Linked DNA regions of Rattus norvegicus. The protein of the gene in region 2 interacts with the protein of the main gene of each other region in a pairwise test. Links are inferred from orthologs where the notes say so. Each region holds a gene or a part of one and is shown on either strand. Other genes may lie near its edges.

Region 1 (3,815 bases), on a different chromosome or scaffold from region 2:
TGTACCAGTGGAATAAAAGGGGGAAAATAAACTAATTAATAAATGTAATATTATAACGATGTAGCTACCAGCAGGCTAATCTCATACTCATTTTCACTATCTTAGTAAACAGGAGAAGTGAGGGAAGTGCACACACTAAGATACTTCTGTACTTATTTGAAGACATGAAGTTGGGCCCAAATAAATACATACTTCTCTTTTACTGGCTTTAGGTAAAATGGAAAATATATAGGTTTTATTTGGCTAAAGACAAGTTTTTCTTCAAGTGTGGAAATTCTTAGCTCTCAAAATTTCAAAGATACAAAGGGACTCACTGGACAAAACCTTATGAAACCATGATTGTGCTGACTATCCATCTTATGCAGTTATTTAAATCATCACAGGCCTCAGCTGAATCACAATCACCTCAGAGGTGGCAGAAAGTGGAGTTCCTAACTTTAGTTCCAAGACCAGGACTTGTGAAGTCTACAGTGGGGTCTGAGATCCCTTATTTTGGGAGGGAACAAACTCCTGCACTGTGAGCTCTCTTCCCAACGAAAGAGCGTGCATTTTAACAAATGTTTTGGGTGCAGCTAAGGCTGGTGCCATGCTAAATGCTTGGAGAAGCACTATGTTGAGTCTGTGTCTGTTTACTAGTTTTCGGGACTGAGCACAGGGCCTCGCACATGTTGAATACATGCTCTGCCACCAAGGTATACCCACTGCCCTGTCTGAGCTTTTGGGATGTTTTAAAAGCGTGGATTCAGTCAAACTTGGAAACTCCAAAGATAGGAAGCACATTCAGGATATCATTGCTGGAGCTATGTCTGCAGGGGAAGAAGGAAGAGGTGGCATGTGTTCTATTTTGTGGCAGAGGCTTGAATGAAAAGCTGTATGCTTTTGTTTTGACAGATGCACATTTAAAATTTGTACAGTTTTAATGAAGGCATACTTCACAATGAATGAAGGACAGAAAGCCAAAATTCTAACTCTGGTAAATGGTATGCATGTCAAATCTTAAGGGATAAAGTATATACTAAGCTCTATAGTTTAAAATGTGTAAAAATAATAAAATTATTGATGGGTGGTTGGAGTAATTATGCAAAAGACTGAATAAGCATTGATAGCAGAATCTAGCTGGTGAGTAGACAGGTCTTAAATGAAAATTATTTCTGCATGTTTGAAAATGTTTATAATATGCTAAATAAAACATCAAAAAGAAGTATACATATGTCCACATCAGGGAAGGTAATAATTATGAGTGTGTGTCTTGGGGTGGGTAGGGATGTAGTTTATTCGTCAGGATATTATTTACTCAGAAGCTTGGGTTCAGTTGGCAGTGCTTCATTAAACTGGGCACAATTTATGGCAGAAGCCTGTAACCCAAGCACTAGGGAAATTGAGACAGGATTGGGAGTTCAAAGTCATCCTTGGCTACACAGAAAGTCTGAGGCTAGCCTAGGCTACATGACACCCCATGTTTGGGGAAAAATGAGCAGTGATAACATAGCAACAGTAGCACAGACTTAAAGAGTAAGGGACTTTGGAGGATCGTCCTGGAGAATGATCCTTCTGAGTGATTCATTGGAGAAATCTCCATACTGATCAGTAATTGTTATAACCTTTAGCTAATCAAGCTTTGGTGAATATGAGGCAAAGACCCCAGCTTCCTGACATGTTTCACTAATTTGTCATTAAAAAAAATAGGATATCAGACTGTAATAGTATCAGCTGTGTAAGCAAGAGCTTTTAGTACTTCCTTTTTTATGATATATCACAGGCTGGCTTTGAACTTGATATGCAGCTAAGGATGACCTTTAACTCTTGAACCAATTACTTCCAAGTTTCAAGTGCAGGAATCATAGCTGTGCCCCACCATGCCTGGTTTACGAAGTGCTGAGCAATCAAACCAGGATGTCATGCCTGCTAAGGTAGCACACTACCAACTGAACATCTCTAGTTCAGGACTTGCATCTCATGCTTTACAAAGCTTCACAGGGACTTTTATCTTCAGTAACACATGCTCTCCTGAACTTAGGCATGCATACTGAGCACACATCAGTGTCGAAGCATATAACTAATCCAACAGAGAGTGCCCATTGCAAGTACAGAATCAAAACAATCAAAAGGTCCTTGGTGACTGATGAAGGGCAGTTTCTGGACCCAATCCAGGTTTTTGATTTGGAATCCGCTTAACAATGCTGAAGCTAATATAACATTAAAGTGCTTGTTGTGATCTTAAAATTATCCATATTTTGTATGCTTATAGTTATATATATTTCCACAATTTATAGCTTTGAAAATTACGTTTTCAAAATTTATATTTATAGAGAATATAATTTAGGCTTTCAGTAAACCAACACATGAATATTAGGTCATTTCACATTCTTTATATAATTGGTCTAACAGATTAAATAGTTTATTACAGGGCTTGATAATTTCTTTCAAGCCATTTATATAATCAATTGTCCATTGATATAGGCAAAAAACTTAATTGGCTTTTGATTGTAATTCAGCCAACTCTCAATTATTGTGATTATTAGGAAGAAGTCAGTCATTTTTTCAAAAGTAATGGTAATGGTAAGATACACAAGTTTGCAGAGATCCAGAATTGAAAAGAAATCATGAAGTTACTAGCTAAGTTGTAAGCAAATTCTTTTGTGAATTATTTTATCAACAGTAGCATGACAGAAAATATGTTTAACGAATAATACTGTGAAAAAGTTTTCTTTTTCCAAATAGTGGCAAGGATATCTGAATCAGTTCCAGTAAATTCAATTATCTTTGAAAACCCACTAAGTTGTCCTTTTGCTTAGGTGGCCACCAATGCACAAGACACAAAACATGGGAAGAGCAAGGAGACGATACCTGGATAATCTCCCCCAAATAACTGAGAGTTGACTGCAATTACTTACAGGCTGTGGGTCAAATCCTATCTGTCCAGTTAGTTCTGCTAGCTCCTTCTCACGGTAATCATCCAGCTCAAGGGGGCTCATAGGACCTAGACCTTAATGGAAACATTGTCTTATTATTTTGGTAGAGATAAGTGAAAAATGATAATTAAATTACTCTGTAAATAGGAAAACCTGCCCACTTTATCGTATAAATTAGAACCAATAAAATGTAAGCCAGCCCTACCTCCCAGTCACCCACTTAAGAAACTGAGCTCTCCCACTGATTTGCTGAGAGCATGGAAGAACGTCAGGAAACAGAAGCTTGCGGCAGACAGCATTTGCTGAGTGTTCCCCTTCTGTTTCCATTATTTGTACTGCTGTGAACTCATACCTGTAAAATCATGAGTGTATGAAGTGAGCCAGTGAGAACGCTCAAGATTTCTCTGTATATTGGCATCCTTTGCAGAGGTCATAGTATCCCACGGAGTCACAGATGAGTTAGGAGCAAAGGTTTTAGGAGGCTTGGGGTAGAATACTGGCTTGTTTTTCTCAACACATTTAGGAAACTAGAATAGGAACATAAAGATTGCTGTTACAAGTGTATCTACCTGAGTAAGGACTGCTTCACTGTCCAGCAAGCAGCAGTTGAGGTCATTTTCTTCATTAATTACAATGTTCAAGCCAGGCCTGGTGGCTGTAACTATAACCACATTTTATCACAGAGATGCTAACATCTCTTCTAAAAGTCTCTGAGAACCTAGGTTGGAGTTTGTCCCTGGATAGTTTATTGCTAGTACAGTTTCATTAGCCGTCCTGAGGGTTCTGTGTACTGCTGGCTGGTTTTAGCCAAAAATGGCTGCTGCTTTGTCTTCTGTCCCTGAAAGGAAACTGCATGATGTTGGCTACAGCTGATGAAGCCTTAACTCACGCAAATTCAAATAT
Region 2 (4,315 bases):
TGGAGGACTAGGGGAGCTATTTCTATGCCAATGTCCCAAATCAACATGGGGACGTAGGCCTGTGACCCTCAGCAGGGCAAACAGGGCTGACATAGGTACACCGCCACAGGGTTGGGGGCGGAGATCGTACTTGTTGTCTGCGATGCTGTACACCTCTGTGGAGCTGGTAAGCCCTGTGTCTGTCACCCCTGCAGCCACAAAGATGCGGCCATCATGGACGGTGGCCCCAAAGAGTGAGCGGGCTGTCTTCATGGGTGCTAGCTCCTTCCACTCAAACTTCTTGGGGTCGTAGACACACATCTTGTTCAGACATTTCCTGTGGGGTAGATGGGGTGAGTGAAGACAGAGGCTGGGGTGGGGGACAACTGTCTGCCCCTCAGCCACACAGAACCTCCTCGCCACCAGGCTAAACCTCACCTGTCTTTGCCTTTGCCGCCAATGACATAGACAAGGTCCATGTGTGAAAGCACGGAATGGCCGTAAACCGCATAGGGCAGCGGGTCTGACTCACCCCATTTGAATGACCTGGAGGAACGAGAGAGCCCGGAGTGCAGCTTAAGCTCCTGTGGAGTCTGGCTCTCCGAATTCACACCCACGACACACACCCAGACTGCGTTGGGTACATTCCCCTCCCCTGAGCTCTTGGGCCTTCGAACCAACCCACCTACTCCTCTGCTCAAGGACTATTTTCAGGTCTTCACCCGATGGCCGTGCACCTGTGCAGGCCTCCTGGCTGCTACTGTGGTCCTAGCCCCACCCTATGGCCTCTGCCCCAGACCATCCTGTCCCCCAAGGTGGCCCCAACCCCTGCACACACACTCACAGCCTGTCGTAGCACAGGACTGAGTCCAGGCTGTCTTCGCTGTCCTTGAGCTCCCGGCCGCCGACCACGTAGATGGCATTAAGAGCCTCCCCCAGGCCGAAGAGGCAGCGAGGTGAGGGGAGAGGCGGCATCCCCAGCCACTCAGAGTCCAAGTGGTCAAACTGTGGGCGGGCAGTATCTTTGGGTCAGCCCTTTCCCCCACCCCTTAAAATCTATAGCCTTCCATCCCACCATCTGTGTCTGCCTAACCCAGTGGTTATAAGTACAAGGGGCCCACCTCAGAGAGTTGTCCAGTAGCTGCATGGTATGGATAGACACTTGATACCATTTAACTTCAGAAACTTCTCCCAGACGGCCTGGGAGAGCTGCCCCTCACCTCCTCCAGCTGTGGGGCCTGTGGACTTGACCTTAGCACCCAGCTGCTTATCAGCCCCTGGCTGCCTATACCAGCTCACCTGGCCATCGTGACAGGGTTGTCTGTCTGGGTTACCAACAGTGTTAACTCCCTCCCCTCCCCCTTCACATCTCTGGATTTCACCCAGCTGACAAGGCTCAAAACCACAGGTCAGGCTGTAGATTCTCCTTGCCTCTGAGCTCTCACAGTGGCATCCTCAACCTGGACTGGCTCACCTGCCTCCCAGCCCCTGCTGAGACTCAGTTTCCTGCCCTGGAAAGGAGAAAGCAAGGTGCTCTCTGTGTGATAATCTGTTCCCCACCCGGTCCTGGCACTTCTGCCAAAGCCCTGTTTATTGATTCTTTGCACTTGTCTCTGACCCTCCAACCCCTCCGCTGGGCCTCTTTGGAAACTGGCTGTAACTCTTTCCCCTTCAAGCAACTGGCTGCCAATCAAAGGTCCTAGATCCAATGACAGACCCCCAAGTAGACGCAGGCCCTTCCCAGAACCCAGCACTAGTCCCTCCCTCCCAAGGCAGGCCAGGCACCTGCAGGAAGTAAGCACTCATAGGGTCTTCCTTGTTGTCCTCGTTGTAGAAGAGGCCACCGGCCACGAAGACTTGGTTCTCCTTGGTCACGAGACTGACATGGTTTTTGGGGATCTGGGTGGACAGGGATGCACAGTAGCACTCGTTGGCAGCTGGGTCGTACGCCACAGCGCCCTCCTCGCTGATCATGAAGATGAGATCCTGCAGGAACATGCCGAAGCGCAGAGTATCATTGAGTATCCCGGGCAGCACTCGTTCCTCATCATCCTCAGCCTTGGTGTCTTCTGTGCCCTGGTTGGCCTCCTTGGTCCGAGCTGTCTGCTCACCCTTCTCCTTCTTTTTCTTGCGCAGCGTAGTGAGGCGGCCCTCGTGTGCGTCCTTCACCATCTGTACCTTGCGCAACAGCTCAGGCTGGGAGCGCACAAGTGGGTGGCGCTCCACGCGGCTCTCCAGGAAAGCACGAGGCAGCAGGCGGCAGCGAATGCTCTCGAAGACCGTGGGCAACGCACGCTGGTGCTCGGCCTGCACATCGGCATCGCCGCTGCTGGCCCAGCGCATCACAGCCTCGAACACTGCCTCCTCCTTCTCCACGTTGAGGCCATCGCTGGAGATGATGGCGATCAGCTCATCAGCTGAGAGTCCCAGGAAGTCGTTGTCGCGTGCCACCAGCGGGAAACGTGCGCAGATGAAGTCGCGCGCGGCCACAGCTAGACGCGCACAGTCCAGCAGGAGGCCGAGGCGGAAGACAGCCAGGCAATTAGCCAAGCACAGGCGCTTCTGCAGGAACGACACGCAGATGGTGAAGATGGACGGGATCTGGAATCGATGCGCCGCGGCAAACAGGTCCTGAACGCTTGCCTCGTCCAGCGCGATCTCCGATGTGTACAGGTAGTGCAGCACCTGGGACACTACATCAGGCGACACCTCCTCCAGGCGTAGCTCTCCCGCGCCATCTGGCTCAGCCAGGAAACGCGCACGGAAGTAGGGGCTGCAGGCAGCCAGCACCAGGCGGTGGCACGGGAACTCGCGCTCACCCACACGCACTACGCAGTCCAGGAACTTGCCGTGGTCCAGCATGTCCTTGAGGCCATCCTGCAGGAGCGTCTGCTGGTACAGACGCTGCTCCTCCGCCTGCTCCAAGCCCAGCGTCATGGTGCGGCTCTCTGGAACTCAGCAAGTCTGTTTGTCAAGGGCTGCCCTGCACACCTCTGCTCTCCTGTGGGGCAGTGCACTGACTGTGCAGCTGTCTTCTCTGGGCTATATATAGAGGATGCCTGGACCCTGTAAGAGGAGCCGCCTGGCCTCCTGCAAATGACTCACAGGGGACAGCTGAGCAGAGGCTTTCTCCCTGAGCAGCCTTGAGTCAGAGATAGGGGATCATGGGGCGAGGGTGGGGTGTGTCTGGACCTTTCCACAACTGGAAGGTCTCTTAGCCCAGCACACAGGAAAGCTTTGTCTCTGGATTCCTTAGTCCAGAAATGTGGCTACCCACGAAGGGGACTGTAGCCACCCCTGGTTACAGTATGTTTGGTTTCCTGCTTGGTGAACATGCCTTTGTCCTTGGCAGTCTCTGTTTAGAGACCCAAAATGGGAAGGAGTTTCCTCTGCCCAAGCTCAGTAAGGGTAGGTGTTTCTCTGTTGGGCCTCAGTTTCCTTTCCCATTCAAGGAGGGAGAGGAGCCAGAATCCAAGGGTCTCAGCTCAGCTCTGCTAAGGGCAAGAGACCCTGGGGTAGCTGCAGGGTGGACTCAAAGGTGTCAAGCCTGCTAGAAAATTAATTTCCTAGGATTCTACTATTGGGGTGGGAGTGGGGGTGAGGATAGACCTAAATTTTAATATTCTAATAGCATTCTGAATTTTAGTGTCCAAATGGTGGAACTTCCAAGAGTCTGATTACTGCTCAATAACTCTGTCCCATTGTCCTCAATCTGTGTGAGATTTACCATGTTTCTCCCTGGCCTTGGGGGCCCCGTAGCTGTCGTCTGTGATTTGAGGAGTTGAGAAGTTGAGCCAGGATACCCAATCTCAATCCCCACTTTGCTCTGGACTCCTGTCCATCCCCCAAATTTACACATGGGCTTCAGCCTCCAAGATTAACGAATTCTCCAAGCGCCAAAAGCTGCAGCTGTGGGTTAAATTTAGCCCTGGGACACTGGTAGGAGGTGTAATGGAGCGCTCCCCAACCATGCCTCTGAGTCACTTGTTTATAACCTTGGGCTTGTGGGGGTATAGGAGAAAAGACCTGGGGGGAGGGCTGAGTCACACATCCCTCCTGTGATTCCAGAAACATTACTGCCTGTCCCTCCTGAGTAGTGACGGTCAGGTCACTCAGTCCTAGAGGGGCATGTAGCTGGACAGAGGTATGCTGCCCACCTTTCTGCAACTTCAAGGGCTAGCTTAGGGCGGGCTGGGAGGGTTTCCATGACAGTTCTGGACAGTGGGACATTCCTCGGAAACATTACCAGCAATTCGCTGGGTCCACACGGCTACTACATGTGGTACAAAAATGTCTGTGATCACAACCTCACTTTCCAAGGACCTGAACAGAAGAC

Evidence for each region.
Region 1: the proteins of Klhl40 (region 2) and Spmip4 interact in a two-hybrid assay, tested with the Homo sapiens proteins (2 studies listed by BioGRID and IntAct). The two-hybrid records come from large-scale screens. The link is inferred for Rattus norvegicus from reciprocal best matches to the Homo sapiens genes KLHL40 and SPMIP4.

The regions. Positions count from the first base shown.
Region 1 is NC_086022.1:80,995,024-80,998,838, forward strand, and holds part of Spmip4 (sperm-associated microtubule inner protein 4), read right to left. Parts: intron 3,440-3,815; coding exon 3,265-3,439; exon of another isoform or gene 2,987-3,264; coding exon 2,895-2,986; exon of another isoform or gene 892-2,894; intron 1-891. UniProt on the Homo sapiens protein: Microtubule inner protein (MIP) part of the dynein-decorated doublet microtubules (DMTs) in flagellum axoneme. May serve to reinforce and thus stabilize the microtubule structure in the sperm flagella.
Region 2 is NC_086026.1:130,317,480-130,321,794, reverse strand, and holds the start of Klhl40 (kelch-like protein 40), read right to left. Parts: upstream 3,003-4,315; 5' UTR 2,917-3,002; coding exon 1,765-2,916; intron 985-1,764; coding exon 824-984; intron 526-823; coding exon 418-525; intron 317-417; coding exon 131-316; intron 1-130. UniProt on the Homo sapiens protein: Substrate-specific adapter of a BCR (BTB-CUL3-RBX1) E3 ubiquitin ligase complex that acts as a key regulator of skeletal muscle development.